Linked DNA regions of Elephas maximus indicus. The protein of the gene in region 1 interacts with the protein of each later gene in a pairwise test. Links are inferred from orthologs where the notes say so. Each region holds a gene or a part of one and is shown on either strand. Other genes may lie near its edges. The genes, in order: RBBP8 and LIMS1.

Region 1 (9,077 bases):
CTTTGAAGGTAAACTGTCATTCACCTTTGTATTTCAATGCTTAACAGCAAACAGTATTCCAATGGGTTGTTAAATGACTTAAGTAGAGTACGTCTATAAATAATCCTGTGAATAAACGCCCATTTTTCTGAAGAAAATTAAGTTTAGAGGTTAAGTGACTTGGCTGAGATCACAGAGCAAGTAGGTGAATAAAATCAGAACTAAAATCCAGGTCTTCGGACACCAATTTTTATACCTTTTCCACTACACTTTTTTTTTTTATACATATTACCACAAGTAAGTAACTACAAATTGTGCAAGAACTATGTGCTGTAGTAATTGCCAACAGCTGAAAAATAACAACTCAACCGTAAAAATGAAACACAAAAAAATTACAGTAATCAAGGTCACACAATGATCAGCTCTTTGAACTTAGTCATTTCTCACTTCTATAAAGACATAAAACTACTGCACAAAGTTAGTTATTACTATAGTTATTACTACAAGTCTCAAAAAAATATAGTATGAATACTTCTCAAATCAGTATTTGAGAAAAGTTTTTACCTTGAACCTCTTTATCATGGTACTCCTTTAGTTTTGCCCAAAGTTCCTTAAAGTCATTAGATATATCTGCAGAATTAGGGCTTCCACAACTGCTTCCAGAGATGTTCATCTTGCTGAATATGCTTCACGCTTCTCTTTGCCTAATGATTTATGACTCTTTCTGTTACATTATGTAAGCATGAAGTTGTCTTTGGAGACAGCTGAAATGCCTGAAACAACAGATCACAACACAAATAAATTTTGCATTTATTTTTATGTGATTTACAGTCATAGAAGAAACACACGTCCACTTGAAACTGAAAATGTGTGGGGGGGGTGAGGAAAGAAGATGATTAAGATGAGAAAAGCCCTGATTTCAGTAATTTGGCCTTTGTTGTTGCTAGGTGCCATCAACTCATAGCTACCCCATGTGACAGACGAGACAGAACAGCCCTGTGGGGTGGGTTCAAACCGCCAACCTTTTGGTTATCAGCCTAGGGCTTAACCGTTGAGCCACCAGGGCTCCTTATTTGGTCTTTAGTTAAACTAAATTTTCGGGTAAATTTTATCTTATTCCTTCTAGAAAGAAGCCATTACCTAAAATGATGCTAAATCGAAAAACCTTTGCCATGGGGTCGATTTAACTTACAGTGACCCTATAGGACAGAGTAGAGCTGCCCCATAGGGATTCCAAGGCTGTAAATCATTATGGAAGCAGACTGCTACATCTTTCTCCCACGAAGCACTTGGTGGGTTCGAACCACCAACCTTTTGGTTACCAGCCGAGGGATTACCCATTGAGCCATCAGGGTTCTTGTTAAATTGAAGGATTCTATTAATGAATGGTTCTTAATCATCCATGGTCAGTATTCATTTCACATTATAAAAAATGTATTGTTTTATTTTTGGATTGATGTAGGGTGCAACAACATATCAAACCCCAAACCAGAAAAACACCCTGAAATATTCCTGACTTAAAAAGTACTCAGGAGCCCTGGTGGCACAGTGGCTAAAGAATCCACTTCTAACTGAAAGGTCAGCAATTCGAAACCACCAGCTGCTCCTCAGGTGAAGGATGTGGCAGTCTGCTTTTTGTTGAGATTTACAGCCTTGGAAATTGTGTTAGTTATGTAGGGCTGCTATAACAGAAACACCACAAGTGGATGGCTTTAGCAAAGATAAGTTTAGTTTCTCCCAGTAAAGCAGACTAAAAGTTCAAATGGAGGGTGTCAGTTCCAGGGGAAGGCCTTCTCTGTCTGCCTTCTCATCAATCTTCCCCCAGACTTGGAGCTTCTGTGTGCAGGGACCCCAGGTCCAAAGGATGCACTCTGCTCCTGGCACTGCTTTCTTGGTGGTATGAGGTCCCCTGTCTCTCTGCTTACTTCTCTCTTTTCTATCTGAAGAGACTGCATCAAGACACAATCCAATCCTGTAGGTTCAGTCCTGCCTCACTAACACAACTGCCTCCCATCCTCCCTCATTAACGTCACAGACGCAGGATTTACAACGTATAGGAAAATAATACAATACCAGGAATCATGGCCCAGCCCAACTGATACACACATTTTTGGGGGGTCATAATTCAATCCATGACAGAAATCTTCTGGGGTCGCTATGGGTCAAAATCGACTCAACAGCAGTGGGTTTGGTTTTCTGTTTTTTTTTTTTAAACAAGTACTCACAAACATAAAGACACATAAATTATAAGAGAGTAAGGCAGATCATTTAAGTATCAGCACACGTGAGAAGCTGTATAGCTTTCTCATAAGAAGGGAAGTTGGTGAGCAAGATACAGATACAGGTAAGATTTATGAATATAAAACATTTAATATTTACAGGAATAAGGCCATTAGGGTAAAGCTACTTTGTCTCAGAGTAAAGGTAAATGATTAAGTTATTATTACTCCTGCAGCCACTGAAGGTAGCAACAGGCTATTAAGTGCAAATGGAGTAGTAAATATTTAAATGTGTTCTTGAACTGAAGCCATTAACTACAGGCCATGCTACCACTAAAAAAGTAAAATGATTAACAAGTCTACTTAAACTTCGCACCTGGTTTATTAGTCAATGCCTTACCACTACTAACAAGTGCCCAAACTGACTTGTTTCTCGATATCGATTTCTTGAGGTCCCTGAGGAAGACTAAAATAAGCAATGACATTTCTAAAGACAGCACGATTATGTGTGAAAACCTACCATCCAGTCAATTTTGACTCATGGAGACCCTACAGGACAGAGTAAGATTGCCCCATAGCTGCTAGTGGATTCGAACTGCTGACCTTTTGGTGAAGCTACCTGGTAAACTGCAAAGCATTACAGAAATATTAAAAATACATTCTTATTAAGCTTTTCAAATATTTAGATCAGGTACTTCTCCAGGCAATGAAAACGGAACATGCACTGAATTTTAGATAATATCAGGGAACAGCCGTTAATTTTCTTGGTTATGATAATGGTATGGTTAAGTTAAAATTTTAAAAAAGTCCTATCTATAAAAGAGCTATAATGCTGAGGTGTTTACAAGTAAACTGACACGAAAGGTACTTCAGTGAAAACAAATGAAAGATCTGTTGCCAGTCACAGCACAAGTCGAGGTCACACAAGGGTCCAAGACAAACTGCTGGGGGAGTGAATGTGGAAGCCCTGGTCGCAGGACCCTCATCCATCACCTCTCACCAGCGCCGGCAGGTTTCGCGGCTGAACCTCACGAAAACGCTCGGCAGGGAAAAGCGTGACTGACGCGGGCGGGGTCGGCGCATGCGCGAGGCAGGCTCGGCGCTGGGAGGCTCTTCAAGCCGCGCGGGAGACGAAGGGAGCAGAATGGAAAGCGAGCTCGTCCTCCCTCTGGCCCATTGTATTAGTACAGCCTGGCCCCAGCCTACTTCCTCAGACGCAGCCCGGGAACCCTGCGGCCACCGCCACCCCGGGAGCGAAACCTGGTCGCTTAGCGCGCGCTCTTCAGTCCCAACCGGAAGCAGCGCCACGATCTAGCGCTTCGGGCTGGGGGAAGGAGGTTCTCCTACTCACAGCTTCCAAGATTGCCTGGAGATTCCCAAAAGCCCCGACGAGGAAGCGGACACCCTCCAGACTGTGAACTCACAGCTGCTCGCTTCTCTTTCACCCCTTTCCTCCACCACACAGCCAATCGCCGGGCGGGAAACCGGCCCCTCAGGGCAGCCCGCGCTTTTCCGGGGGAGGGGGAAGGTCAGGCGGCCTGGCCCGCCCCGCCGGGAGCCCGCGTGACGTCACGCGGGAGTTCCCGCCACGTCACGCCCCTTCCTCCTGCAGCCTAGCGAGGCAGCGCCCCTCAAGACCCCCGCGCTGTGGAGAGGGCGAAGACTGGGAGTGGTGGGACGCCCCGGCCATCGCCAGAGCGTGTTTGAGATGCCCTGGGGAAAACTCAAAGCCGTTGTGTCCGGAGATCTTCAAGTCCTCCGTGTGTGCGAAAGTTAGCCGAACAGGCAGAGCGTGTATGCGTGACATCTTCCACATGGAAAGTTAAAATTAACTGATGTGAGATTGTACACGGATCGTCTGAAGTAGTGTTCTGCCTTGTAGTTATTACCTACAGTTCAGTGATGTGACCTGACAAGACCGGGTGGTATAGCAAAAGGATGCATATCTTTGCTGACGTTAAATTGACTGTTTCTCGTGAACCTGAAAGGAGAAGGAATCAGAAGTGACCAGCATTGTTTATCGGACAGCATGCTATTAGGTCATTTTTTTTTTTTTAAACCGGCGTTTCCTGTAGCTGTTCATGATTTTCAAACTGATAGTATGTTTTCCTATTTATCTTAATTTCTAAAGGAAGCATTTTTGGATCATGGGAATTTTACCAATGAAGTTGAAGAAAATAAAGTAGACTAGTATCGCAATATCTTTTAAACAAGTCCAGAATTTTTGTATAATACTTCAAAATCTTGGGAAGAGAACAGGAAATACTATAAACTTTTAGAAATTAGGTAGTATTTAGCAAATAATAAATACGAAGCGTAAAGGTAGTTTTTCCATTCGTTGCATACGTTGGTGGATGAGTATTGTATTTACTCCTTGATCTTGGACTTAACAGGACCTTAGTTGGTATCTTTATAGAGGAGTTTTGAACCTTCATTATCCTGTTAGAGTAACTATCATTCACATCTAAATTTGATAAGACTTCATAAAACTTTTTAAAGAAAATGGATGAAAAGCCGTCTTTGCCATTTTTAATACAACATAGGAGTTATAATTGGCAGAATGAAACTTTTTGTAAGTTTTTTAATGGAAGAGGAGAGCTTTCTTATAAATGGAAAGAACCCAGACATAACCAGTTGCCATGTAACAGCACATTGACAGAACAGTGTGTTTGTGGTGTAAAGAAAAACTGTTGTAGCCCAATGACCTAACCTGTTCCTCTGGCTTCTGCCAGCAGCTCCACTGTCCAATCCCTTTTTGCAAGTCAGATCAAAAGAATTATCCTTGACGCCTTGTCTCTTAACCTCCATATTCCAATCCATCAAACCAAACCAAACCTGTAGCTGTTGAGTCGATTCCGACTCATAGTGACCTTATAGGACAGAGTAGAACTGCCCCGTAGGGTTTCCAAGGCTGTAAATCTTCACGGAAGCAGACTGCCACATCTTTTGCTGGTGGATTCAAACCACTGACCTTTAGGTTAGCCACTGAGTGCTTTAACACTGTGCTACAAGGGCTTCTTCAGTTCATCAGAAGTCATGTCAATTTTAATTACCAAATATCTCCCAGATCCATCCCTTTCTCTCCATCACCACCATAATCCAAGATACCATTATCTCTTACCTAGTTTAAAAACCAAGCCAAACCCATTGCCATCAAGTCAGTTCTGACTGTACTGCTAGTTTATTTTTCATATTCACCCAACCAACCGTGCCACCTAAGCCTTTCTTTTCACTATGTTCAGAAAAAAAATTCTAATTCATGTATATATTTAAGTTGTATGCATATATTGCTGAAAGATGGTATATAATCTAATGAGTAAGTTATAGGCTTTTGAGCCAGACTCTAGTATTTCCCAATTAAGAGACCTGGGCTAGTTACTCATTTTCCTACCTGTAAAATAAGGATAATAATAGTATAAATCTCACACGGTTATGAAGATCAAATGAGTTAATACATGTTAACTGCTCAGCATAGTGGTCAGATGCATGGTACGTGTTCAATAAATGCCATTTGTTATTACTACTGAACTAGTAGACTATGAACATTGTAACACATTTTTAAAGGATGAGAAAAAAGAATAGAAATCTAATATCTTCTCCTCCCACATTAAATTGTGCCCACTTTGAGAAAATTTCTCTACACGGTAGCTTCTGTAATCTTGAAAGTAAGTCTGATAAGGTCACTCTGCTGCGTAAAACCTTTCAGTGGCTTTAAAGAAAGCCTCTTTGAACTCCTCTACTACCTCTCCAGCTTCATTTTCAACCATACTCTACCCTCTGGCCTTTCTGGCTTTTTTTTTTTTTTAGTGTCTTGAGAGTTACAATCTCCCAGCCGAAAGGGCCTTTATATGCTGTTTCCTCTTCCTGGAATTCTTGACCAAACCCATTGCCACTCTTTGCCTAACCCACTGCTGTCAAACCCACTGGCGTCCAGTCGATTCCTATTTATAGTGACCTCGTGGTGTTTCCGAGGTCGTCAGTTTCTGCAGAAGCAGAGTTCCACATCTTTCTCCTTCAAAGCTGCTGGTGGTTTCAAACTGCTGACCTTTTGGTTCACAGTTGAGCGCTTTAACCACTGCACCACCAGGGCTTCTTGCCCTTTGCCTAGCTAATTATTAATCATCCTTTTATCTTGCTTTTATGATCTCTTTTGTTAGATGATCTTATAGTACCGTATACCTCCCCATCTTATACTGATCACAGTTTTAATTCTTGATTTGTCTCCCCATTAGTTTCTTGAAGTAAAAAGCCATGTCTTCTTCATCATTTTATCTCCAGAAACTTAACTTAGTGCCTGCCACAGAGTCAGTAGTCTGGATAAATGACTGAATGAAGCATCTCTCACTGGATTCCTGTATTTTATGTTAGTGGAAGCCTTTGGGTATATTAAAAATTCTTAGATCATCTTTATGAGGTTTTATAATGGTCACCTTAACAGTAGAAATGGTAGACATACTAATAGATATTTGCCCCCAAATGTAGCTTTGAGACCCAGTCTCCAAGGATCTGCTGAGGAAACTTCTTTTCACAGAGAAGCATCACTCTTTGTGATACTTGTATTCCCATATTTTATAACTTAAAATAATGCTTCCCAAACTTTTTCAATCATGGCATACTTAGAACATGAATATCATGGCTTGTGATAAAAGGACAGGCCGCTTCCAGCTCCAACCACCTCACGCCCAGTGCTTGGGATTTTAAGTCTTAGCACATGGGTAACCCATTTGAAATCCTGGTTAGAATGTTGGATTTAAAAATTATCTGGTAGCAGTAAAACTGTAAGATTCTTAAAACTGTAGAGTTTTGGAATTCATGTAGATTTTAAAATCATCTAACTCAAGCTGTTTTAAAAATGAAATTGTTGATTCTACAACCTATGCTTAATTCCTACAACTGAGCAGCTTAGTGTTGTGAGGGGAAAAATCACATAGCAGGTTAGACTGATATGACTAAAATTACATGGTGTCAGACCTAATGTAAGGCATCCGTTAATCCTTAAAATTGTCTTTGTTCAGCTCCTTCTCCTATTTCCTTTCGCCTCTTCCAAAACTTCATTATTGTCTTCAAGCCTCTATAGCTTTCTCTGCAGACCACCTAGCCTCCTCATTAAAAAAGACAATTGGGCTCAACAGGTGTTATTCTCCTAAGCTTCCCTTTCCCTTTCTCAACTTGGAAACCCTGGTGGCATAGTGATTAAGAGCTACAGCTGCTAACCAAAAGGTCAGCAGTTTGAATCCACCAGGCACTCCTTGGCTACTCTATGGGGCAGTTCTACTCTGTCCTGTAGGGTCGCTATGAGTCAGGATTGACTTGATGGCAGCAGGTTATCTTGTTCCTGTCCTCAAGGAGAATGCTTTCAATCTCTGTCCATTGAGAATACTGTTGGCTGTTGGTCTTGCATGTATGCCTTTATGCCCAATTATGTTGAGGAATTTATCCTTCTACTCCTATTCTGGAAACCCTGGTGGCGTAGTGGTTAAGTGCTATGGCTGCTAACCAAGAGATCAGCAGTTCGAATCCACCAGGTGCTCCTTGGAAGCTCTAAGGGGCAGTTCTACTCTGTTCTGTGGGTCGCTATGAGTCGGATTTCGACTCAACGGCAGTGGGTTTTATTCCTATTCTACTGAGAGTCCTTTTTTTTTTTTTTTTTCAGGAAGAGGTGTTGGACTTTACCAAGTGCCTTTTCTATGTCAATTGATATAAACGTGTGATTCTTTTCCTTTGTTTTATTTATGTGGCGAATTATGTTGATTGATTTTCTAATGTTGAACCCTTGCATCCATGATATGAATCCCACCTGATCATGATGTATTATTTTTTGATATGCTATTGTATTCTTTTGGCTAGATTTTTGTTGAGAATTTTTGTGTCTGTATTCGTGAGGGATATTGGTCTGTAATTTTCTTTCTTTTTTGCTTTTGTGGTATCTTTGGCAGGCTTTGGTATCAGGGTTATGCTGGCTTTGTACAATGAGTTAGGGAGTATTCTTTCCTTTTCTATGTACTGGAATAGTCTGAGTGGGATTGTTGACAACTCTTCTCTGAATGTTTGGTAGAATTTCTCCAGTGAAGCCATCTAGGCTGGGGCTTTTTTTGTTGGGAAAGGCATTTGGTAAAGTCCAACACCTCTTCCTGAAAAAAAAAGAAGCTGCCAAAATTCTAAACAAATATTTCTGCTAACCAGAAGTTGCTAGTTCAAATCCACCAGCCACTCCTTGGAAACTCTATTGGGCAATTCAGCCCTGGTGGTACAATGGTTAAGTGCTCGGCTGTTAATCAAAAGGTTGGTGGTTTGAACCCACCCAACAACTCTGCCAGAGAAAGACCTGGCATTCTGCTTCCATAAAAAATCCTGAAAAAATCCCATGGGCAGTTGTACTGTGTCACATGGGTTCACTATGAGTCAAAACTGATTCAAGGTCATCTAACAACAACGAGAACTTAACTGCGGTAGAGGTGATAAAAAGAACTTAAGTGTGATCACTAAGACCGTAGAGTAGAAAAGTTGATTTTGTTTTGGAAAGCTTGAAAAACTAAACTTTACCTTACCTTTCACCCAATAAATAAATATATAGTATTATACTGCATTGTCCTGCGACCATACATATAATACTATCATGATGGAAGCTGTGGGAACAATATTTACAGTAATGTAAATGGAAAAAATTATGAAGGGTTAACTGTAGGAACAAGTCATGGACACTTGGAGCCTTGTAATTAAAGCATTCCTTGATAGATTCACAAGAGCATACATGTTTAATATTCATTACTTTGTCCACTTAAAATATAATGATTCACGTCTTAAATAGTAATGTTTCCATCTCTGAATTGATAAATTTATTCAATGCTGGCAAATAGGTATGATCTTTAATGTACTCAT
Region 2 (9,369 bases), on another chromosome or scaffold:
GTCTTCCTTTTTTCTTGTCCAGTTTTTGCGTGCATATGAGGTGATTAAAAAAACATCATGGTTTGGGTCAGGCACACCTTAGTCCTCAAAGTGACATCTTTGCTTTTTAACACTTTAAAAAGGTCTTTTGCAGCAATGCATTGTTTGATTTCTTGACAGCTACTTCCATGGGCATTGATTGTGGATCCAGGTAAAATGAAATCCTTGACAACTTCAGTCTTTTCTCTGTTTGTCATGATGTTGCGTATTGGTCCAGTGGTGAGGATTTTTGTTTTCTTTATGTTGAGGTATGATCCATACCGAAGGCTGTAGAAGTGCTTCACCAGAACTAGACCTATAAGTAGGCTGTCAGCACTTGTGAAAATGGTTAAGATTAACTAACTGAGTTATTGATATAACTTGTGCCCGGTATGGGCAGTTTCAGCCGCTGTTTTGTGTTACGCAGTCCTTGTGTGCGCTGAGGCAGCCGTGCAGAGATGGCACTGCCTGCTGTGACGCTGTCCCTCGGTGCACCTCTGCCCGATGGCTTTTTGAAAAGGGCGTTCTTTTCTGCCTGTGGGCTTATGCAGTAAAAGTAGGACATTTTTTCTTCAGATACAAGAGGAAGAATTTTTGCCTCGCCGTCTTTTATTAGAAGCGCTATATTTTCATTCTTGATTTCAGGAATACAAGAGTGCCTGCTCATTTTTTTCCTGAAAATTTTAAACCTGATGAGTTGTGCGTCACTCATTTTCCTGAGGAGGGAAGTGAATACACTTGATAAAATGTCACAAGGTTTAGGGTGCTTTGAATCTCTCTCCATCACCAAAAATTAATATTAAATTTTACTAAAATCTTACCCACTCACCAACTTGGTGAGTGGGTAAGATTTTAATAAAATTTAATGTGTTTTGTGTTGTAAAGATGTTCCTTATCTCCTCAAGAACATCACAAACCCCTTAATGTAACAACCAGATGCAAATAGCCTCCTGCTCACAGCTTCATTGGAATTGCTGGGCATTGGTAAGGGTATTTGGGATGGTTTGGAGGGCCTGGACTGGGGGCTCCACAGTGTATAGAGGAATAATTTAATTTGCTTTTTAAATACCTGTTAAGTGAGGAATTTTTTCACTTGGTCTATTCATTTATTTTTAACATACAGTAGCAAAAGCCAAAATGCCTCTGCCCTACTTAGCTGAGAGTGCCAATGAGCAATACCAGCACAGGCATGTAAAAAATGTGCGCTTTTCTTCCTTTTAAACTAGTTTGAGAAAATCTGTGCCTCCTCTCTCTCACTCTCTTACCCCTTGTTAATGAGTGTTTTCTTTTTGCTTGTGCAATCGAAGTAGGATACAGTTTTAACAGACAAGACAAAATGGCATATTAACTGCAACCTCACATCCTTTGCTGGCCACCTTTGTCCGTTTCCCCACTGTCTGTTGAAGGAAAACACAGTGCATTTGTCCTGGAACCTGGAAAATGGGAAGGAACTTTCCAACTCCATTATCTTTACTTGCATGTCATGCTTGTTTTGTTTTTGGTAGTCTGGGGAAATTGAGATTAAATTTTCCATTTGAGTGGGTTAGAGAATCACAATGAAAATAATTCATGTTTCATTTGGTAATTTAACCAGACTGTCTCTCAACACTTTGAATATCCCAGTATGACACAGAAGGCTTTGACTGAAGTCATTCTAGTAGTTGTTATTGCCAAGTACCTGGTTTAGTGATCTGTTAATGCAAATCTGTTTGTGGAATGGGGTAAAACATGAGTAGCATGGCCCTTTTGATTTATAAGAGTCCCGTGGTTTAGAGGCAGTTGGTCAAAATGTTCAGCTTCTCTTTTAAAACCCCATAGATGAAATATTTGGCAATGGTGCACATAATTCAATTGTTGCTTTTTTTAAAAAAATAAAAAATACTATTTTTTTTAAAGAGCTGCCTTTTGGTTTTGGCAGTTCTGCTCATGATTATATCCAGGCTTTAAGTATTTGAGCTCCTGGAAATAGCTGCAATTTTTTTGGTATGATATCTCTAAGTAGGTTACTTATCTTGGACTTGTGACTTATTATCAAAGATGGAATTTGTTTTGGCAGAAATGATGGCGTTAGCTAGACTGATGGAATCTGAAGCACTGCAGCATTCCTTGCAGACCATCAGAGTGAGCCAACGTAACGTCAGATACACCGCGTACGGCCAGACTCTGTCCCAGTAGATCAGTAACGTAACGTCAGATACACCGCGTACGGCCAGACTCTGTCCCGGTAGATCAGTAACGTAATGTCAGATACACCGCGTACGGCCAGACTCTGTCCCGGTAGATCGAGCCTTCAGTAAGTGGTAGGGCTTGGCACACAGTAGATGATCAGAAGATGTTGAGTTTATGAAATATAAATCTGTCTGCTTTGAATGGTTAGAGGGGCTGTTTGAGGTTCAGACCCATCTTCTGAAATCTTCCAAAACCCCCAATTAGCCATGGTGGTAAGGAGTGCTAATCAGATTATAGAACCTCGTGGGAGGAACCTGAAGGGAAACCGGGGCCTAAGGCAACCCTAGTTCTTCAGGCCAGAAAAGTACTTAGGTGTTTGCAGAAGCCTTCTGAGAGGCCCCACTGTTGAGACAAAACTGGCTTTTTTGACAGGAGCTTCCCACTCTGCCGCCATTGCTATTCTGACGCACCGCTGTGGTGTCAGTAGGAGTTTCAGTCCAGGGAGTTCAGATAAATAATTTTCTCAAGGTTACAGTTACAGGCTAGAGGGATTGTTTGCATTTCTTAGAGTGACATTACTAAGTGCCAGAAATGGTTTAAAAGTAACAAAACGCCTGAATCTAAAGCCTGAGCACTGGTATTTTTTTGACCTTAAATTATTGCCTATCCTCTTGGAAAAAGAGTACACATACATTTCTCTTAGCTCTGCTCTGTGGTGGCTAAATAAAACACGTGGCCGACTGAGCCTACAGTATGCTTCTGGGAGAACATGCCCCCTAACCTTTCAGACCTGGTGTCGCAGTGGTTAAGAGCTCTGCCCCTAACCAAAAGGTCAGCAGTTTGATTCCACCAGCTGCTCCTCGGAAACCCTGTGGGCCAGTTCTACTCCATCTGTAGTGTTGCTGTGAGTCAGAATCAACTCAATGGCAACGGGTTTGGTTTTTTTGGTTTGGAACCTTTCAGTGACCGCAGTGTTACTGATCCTTACTCAGGACACCGGGGGCGTACAAAAGAATCGTGTTCATTCAGCACTGGTTATGGAATTAAAAATCTGTATCATTATATGCTTGCATATTGGAAGAAACCATGTATACTGTTTCCACAGAGGTTATATACAGTCACAGAGGCTGTGACTTTTAGTCACTCGTTTATTCATTTAACAAATACCTCCAGTGGTGGGCTAGACACTTCTGGTATACCTCTTTAGGTCCGTTGTAAGCACATAGTGAGTTTCATATGTTCAGAGATGATGTAACATAATATAAATAAGTAAACAATGTGATAATGTAAAAAACAAAGACTTTTTAAGAAACTATAGACGTTCCCAGAAGAGCTGCTAAAGAAAGGGCAGCAGCCTATTTGTGCTGTCATTAGGTAGCTAAAATGTCAGAGCTTACTTAGCCAGACAACTGCAGTGGACGGACAGAGCTCTCGTGATTTGCCTTGATCCGCATTTTAGTTCCTTTGTCGTTCCAGGGTAAGCAGTATGTGTGAGGCACAGAGAATCTTTCTGCTTGCTTTATCTACCTTGACAGTAAATGGGTTAGGGTCCTTTGCTCTTAGGGAGAGGTTAATGGGAAGGAGATGTATAATACAAGATCTGGCTTTTTCTGCCCCGTCTTTTCTTCCTGCAGAGCCTCATTCTCTCCTCTCACTCCTGCTTCCCAGTTAACATGTCTCTTGATGATAAATGAAAACGAAAGGAGGAAAGAATAAGATCTGGTAAAATTGTAAGCTGAGAAACAGAGCCACACATCTGTCTTACACCCACATAAATGCTGTTCTCGTTGATAAAACTGACTGATTAAACAGTTTTAAGATGTTTTCGTAGTATATGATAGCTTTGATCAGAAAGCTCATTCATATTAAGGTGACGTCTGTTGAAGAGTTCTATTTAAAGTATCTGTGTGCCATGTATTCTCATTAACATAATCCCAGCTCCAAGTAGAGGAAACCAGAAAAAAAGGGAGGTCTCCTGCTTGCTTCCTCTTGCACATGGTGTTCTCTAAGTAGCATAACTTGAAGAGGCAAGAGAATTATTACTAAATTGCCAGCACTGATGTGATTTAGCGGAAGGACATTATAGAACTATCTTGGTTGAAGATGTGGAGCAGTTTAGTGGCTGATGGGGGTTAGGATTTTATTCCTGTTCAAGCCACGGTCCTCTTCTGATGGCTTTCAACTAGTAAGAACCGTGTGCTTGGCAGACTCAGAACACAAAAACAAAATACAAACTAAAAATAATTTTGCTTTATTTTTAACTTAATGTCTTGTGATCAAGAATCAAAGAAAAAAAAATTTTAGTAACCTCTTTAGTTTCATCAAAGGGGCAGTTAAGATTAGTAGAATACACACACATACATTCATTTTACACCTCTGTAATATTTGAAATTCTTCCTAATACATGTGTTACTTTTCTTCCCCTTCCTGTCAATAAGGATTATCTGTACTTATTTGTGTGTGTGTATATGCACACAAAAGACATACATACCTAGTAAAAATTGGGATCACACATCTATTAGAACAGCTAAAATAAAAATAATGACAATACCAAATGTTGATGACTGTGTGGAGAAACTAGATCTCTCCAGTATTGCTGATGGGAATGTAAAATGATACAGCCACTCTGGAAGATAGTTCAGTTTTTTAAAAAAACTAAATATAAATTTAGCATACAACCCAACAGTTAAACACTCCCAGGCATTTATCCCAGAAAAATGAAAACACATTCATGCAGAAACTTGTACACAAAAGATGTTCATAGCAGCTTTATGCCCAGTAGCCAAAACTGGAAACTGCTGGTACCTAAATGTCCTTCTATGGGTGAATGGTTAACTAACTATGGTACATCTATACTGTAGAATACTACTGAGCAATAAAAAAAAAAAAAAAAAAGGGTGCAAAGTGTTGATACACACAACTTAGATGCACCTCAAGGAAGCTCATGCTAAGCAAAAAAAGCCCATCTTAAAAGGTCACGTTGTGTAATTCCACTTATATAACATTCTGTAAATGACGAAATCATATAGATGGAAAACAGATAAGTGGTTGCCGGAGGTTAGGGATGAGGGAACAGCAGTGTGCATGATGTGACTATCAAGGTATAAATCGTTCTGTATCTTGGTTGTGGTCGTGATTACAGGACTGTACACATGGGATAAAATGACCTAGAACTATACACACACGTTGTACTGATGTCAGATTCCTGGTTTTGATGTTGTACCATGATTACGTAAGATGTAGTCCTTGGGGGAAATTGAGAGAAGAGCACATGGGACCTCTCTGTGCTATCTTTGCAACTTCCTATGACTATAATTATTTTGAAACAAAAAGTTAAAAATATTTGCAGACCTTTTGCATTATTTTTAGTTCCTTGGCACATGAGGGATTTCATTGAAGAGTTATATGTTCATGAACCATTGACTTTTTTCATAATTTTACTTTCTGTTTCATAAAAATTAGACTACTTGTTATGAAGTAAGATAATTTTTTTTTTGAACTGCTGACTCAAAGTGCATGGCAGACTTGTACAGCTAATTTGCTCTTTTATTATTTCCCCTAGCTAGATTAAATAAATGGATTATTACTCCCCCCCACCCCCCCACCCCCCCACTTTAAGGAGCCCTGGTGATGCAGTGATTAAGCCCTCAGCTGCTAACTGAAAGGCTCTGCACAAGAAAGACCTGGAGATCTGTTCCCGTAAAGGTTACAGCCGAGGAAAACCCTATGTGGCAGTTCTACTCTGTCATACAGTGTTGCTGGGAGTCAGAAACCACACCAAGCACACAATAGCAGCAACCCCCACTTTCCTCACTCAGCAACCACTGAGTGCCTGCTAAGTGCTAGACTCTGTTCAAGGGGCTATAGATCCAGACGTGAACAAGACAAATGTCCTGCCCTTATGGAGCTTACATTTTTGGTATGTGAAGTGAGGCTGAAAGAAGGCAAAGAGTTTGTCCCCATCTGCCCTGGTGTTCTGTTTGAACTACAGGGAAAGAGAAGTCAGCCGGTGACTGCTTCAGTGTTGCACCTCTAGGCTGATGTCTCCAGGTAGCAGTAGCTCAGTGTGGATGGAGTGTTTTGGATCTGACAGTAGGATAACAGGGTTTGGAATCACTGGAGCTAGTATAGAATAGGAAGTGTGTAGAATATTATAAGGAAGACAAACAGACAGCCTAATAGCTTCAGGACTGAGGTGTAGTCCTCTATATCAGTTGCTGGAAGCATCAGCATAGGATGAGTTTCACAAGGAGGTAAAAAACAAAACAAAACATCGGACTTGGAACCTTCCGCTTACTAGCTGGGTGACTTTGAGGACGTTACTTAGCCTCTCTGAGAAGATAATGGGAGTCTTATTTTTTATGCAGGATGAATGAACTCTGTATGAAAGTTCATTGTAAACTGAAAAGTTGGAAAGATTATTGTGGAGAGCACAGTGGTGGTGGGGCGCCTTACCTTTTTTACCATTAAATCATTGTCTAGAATCTTCTCCCTGGAGAGGACAAGTCCCCATGTTCCTGGAACTGGCCCCAGTACACGCTAGAATGGATAATCAAAGATAATGGAAATAAAAATTGATTCTGAGTTTTGAAGAGAGGAGCATCTTAGGTGAAATAGAAATGTAAATAGAAGATGATTAGGTTAACTGTGAAGGGAAGTATCTTGGCAAAACCCGTGTAGTACCCCACCCTCTACCATGTTACCCCTAGTTCTGTGCATTATGTTTCTGGTCTGAGAGTCAAGGTGTTTATGTGTGTATCTGTGTCTGTCTGTGTATCTGTCTCTGTCTGTCTCTCTCTTTCCTCCCCTGACTCCTCTCTCTTATCCACATGGTCATTGTAAAAACAAAAATTGGGAAATGTAGGTAAGTGAAAGGAGAAAATAAAAGCCTGTTTAAAAATGGTGATTCCCTCACTCCATCATCCTTAGGCTTGTCATGGGCAGGCTCTGAGCACCCAGCCTTTGAGTTCCTGACCAGTCCTCTGAGATCTTTAGGGTTCAAAGTAGGTAGCTTTAGTCTTATTTTCTGCTTCTAGTCACATTTTGTCCCACTCCCTAACCTTTTCTAGTCAACCTGTTTGCTCCCTAGTAATTATTTTTAATGATTTTCCCACGAGAGGATTAAAAACATAGACTCAGAATCAGACTACCTTGGCTTTAATCTTGGCTTTCTGGGGGTTGTTTAACACCTCGGGCCTCAGATATGAGCCCTGGTGGCACACTGGTTAAAGTGCTCAGCTGCTAACCGACTGGTGGTCCGCTCAAACCCACCAGCCACTCCACCAGAGAAAGATTCCAGCTTTGGAAACCTTATGGGGGAGTCTTGCTCTGTCCTGTAGGGTTGCTGTGAGTCAGAATTGATTCGAAAGCAGTGGGTTTGGTTTTGGGTTTTGGTGCCTCAGTTTCCTCATCTGCAAATAAAACTTCCTTCAAAGGAATGTGTGGTAAAGATTAAATGATGAGTGCTTATTGAACAGTGAGCACTTATTAACTCCCAAGTATTTATAATTATTTCTAGAGAGTCTCAGCTGCATTTTCCCGTTTGCTGCTGGTTTCATGGCTTTCCTGTGTCTATAGTGACCTGCTCTGCTGATCGTTGTTCCTGTTGCCTGTTGCTCTAGATTTTCTTTTACAGACTCCCCTTGGTACCTTGATTTTGCTGGGTTGGCGCCTTGGTGCTGAGGGGACTAGGGCTTTAGAAAGATTCTGAACCCACTTGTTGCCCGTGACACACATCATCATCATCACTGCTAATCCTAATAATTCTGTAAGATGTCCCAAACCAAACCACTGCTGTCCAGTCGGTTCTGACTCACAGCAACCCTGTGGTGTGGAATGACTATAGCAAAAACACCATAACATTCTTTAATGAATAGTACACTTAATGACATCCTTAGTTATGATAAAGACCCAGAACTTTGGCTCACCTGAGTTACAGTATTAGCTGGAAATCAGTAGAAAAAAATGTTATAACTGAATTCCACCTCTTTTCTGTTTCCACTTGAGTCCATTCATTCCGCCACATTACTGAGCTCTCACTGTGCACCAGGAGTACTGGGATAAATAGAAGTGAAAACAGCCCTTAATTTCAGGGACTCACTGCCTAGTTGGGGGGAAGCCGATAAAAAGGCACCTGTGGCAAGTATGCCCTGAAATTATGGTCAGAGAAGCTCGGTTTCCCCTGCCCTTCAGAGTGTACCAGCGCCATGAGCATCACCGGGGGGCTTATTAGAAATGCAGGATTTCTGGGGAATGTTTACAAGCTCTCCAGCAGATTCTTATGCCCACCAAAGTTGAGAAGCACAGTGTTAGTCTTGTTTAAGCCTGATAACAAATACCCAGGACATGTGGACATTTCTTTCTCTTGAAGTCCTATGGAACAGGCCTCTATTGCTGTGCTGTAGTGTTTACGGGCACAGTCCGCCGCGGAGGCTGTGTTACTGCTTTGTGGAATGTTTTCCTGAGCTTCCAGAAAGTCTCAGTAAATCAGGACCTTCATGCTGGCTGACGGCCTTGCTGCCGGAGCTCTTAACTTGAAGCTCTAGTAGAGACCCTGGCAAGCCTGGCGGGCTGACGTACGTGGGAATAGTGGGAGTGACCCCTGGCTGGGAAGTGGGGGAGTCCTAGATATTGTTTCTCCTGCTTCTGTGCCCTGCCGCTCTTTTCCCTGGGCTCAGTGCTCTCAAGCCCTCCAGGATGGCGCTCCCGGGCAGAGTACGTCCCTGTGCTATCCCAGAGAATGAAGAAATCCCCCAGACTGTGCTTAACAACGCCCACGAGGCTAATGGGAACGAAGACGAGAGGGCTGTGTCCAAACTGCAGCGCAGGCACAGTGACGTAAAAGTCTACAAGGAGTTTTGTGACTTTTATGCGAAATTGTAAGTGTCTCCTCTCGGGGAGAACTGCTCTTCCAGGTTCTCAGTTCACTAGCCATTTTGACATGGCTGATACTGTTTTATTTACTTTACTTTCAGTGATAGTTTTTCTTTCTGCGAGGCAGCTAGATTGCCTTGTCATGTAAAAAAACTTCCACTAGATGAAATGCGGATGTGACAGAAAATGCCACCTTTAAAGTAAGAGTAATAAAGTCTTTGTCTTCAGTAGGTCCCCAATAATAGTACGGATATTTTCATTAGGTAGTCCAAGGAAGGGAGGTTTAGAGTTTTCATTGAGAAGATTTAT

The links.
Region 2: the proteins of RBBP8 (region 1) and LIMS1 interact in a two-hybrid assay, tested with the Homo sapiens proteins (2 studies listed by BioGRID and IntAct). The two-hybrid records come from large-scale screens. The link is inferred for Elephas maximus indicus from reciprocal best matches to the Homo sapiens genes RBBP8 and LIMS1.

The regions. Positions count from the first base shown.
Region 1 is NC_064829.1:28,950,093-28,959,169, reverse strand, and holds the start of RBBP8 (DNA endonuclease RBBP8), read right to left. Parts: upstream 3,756-9,077; 5' UTR 3,550-3,755; intron 753-3,549; 5' UTR 653-752; coding exon 544-652; intron 1-543. UniProt on the Homo sapiens protein: Endonuclease that cooperates with the MRE11-RAD50-NBN (MRN) complex in DNA-end resection, the first step of double-strand break (DSB) repair through the homologous recombination (HR) pathway.
Region 2 is NC_064835.1:77,144,415-77,153,783, reverse strand, and holds the start of LIMS1 (LIM and senescent cell antigen-like-containing domain protein 1), read left to right. Parts: upstream 1-5,857; 5' UTR 5,858-8,883; coding exon 8,884-9,065; intron 9,066-9,369. UniProt on the Homo sapiens protein: Within the IPP (ILK-PINCH-PARVIN) complex, binds to F-actin, promoting F-actin bundling, a process required to generate force for actin cytoskeleton reorganization and subsequent dynamic cell adhesion events such as cell spreading and migration.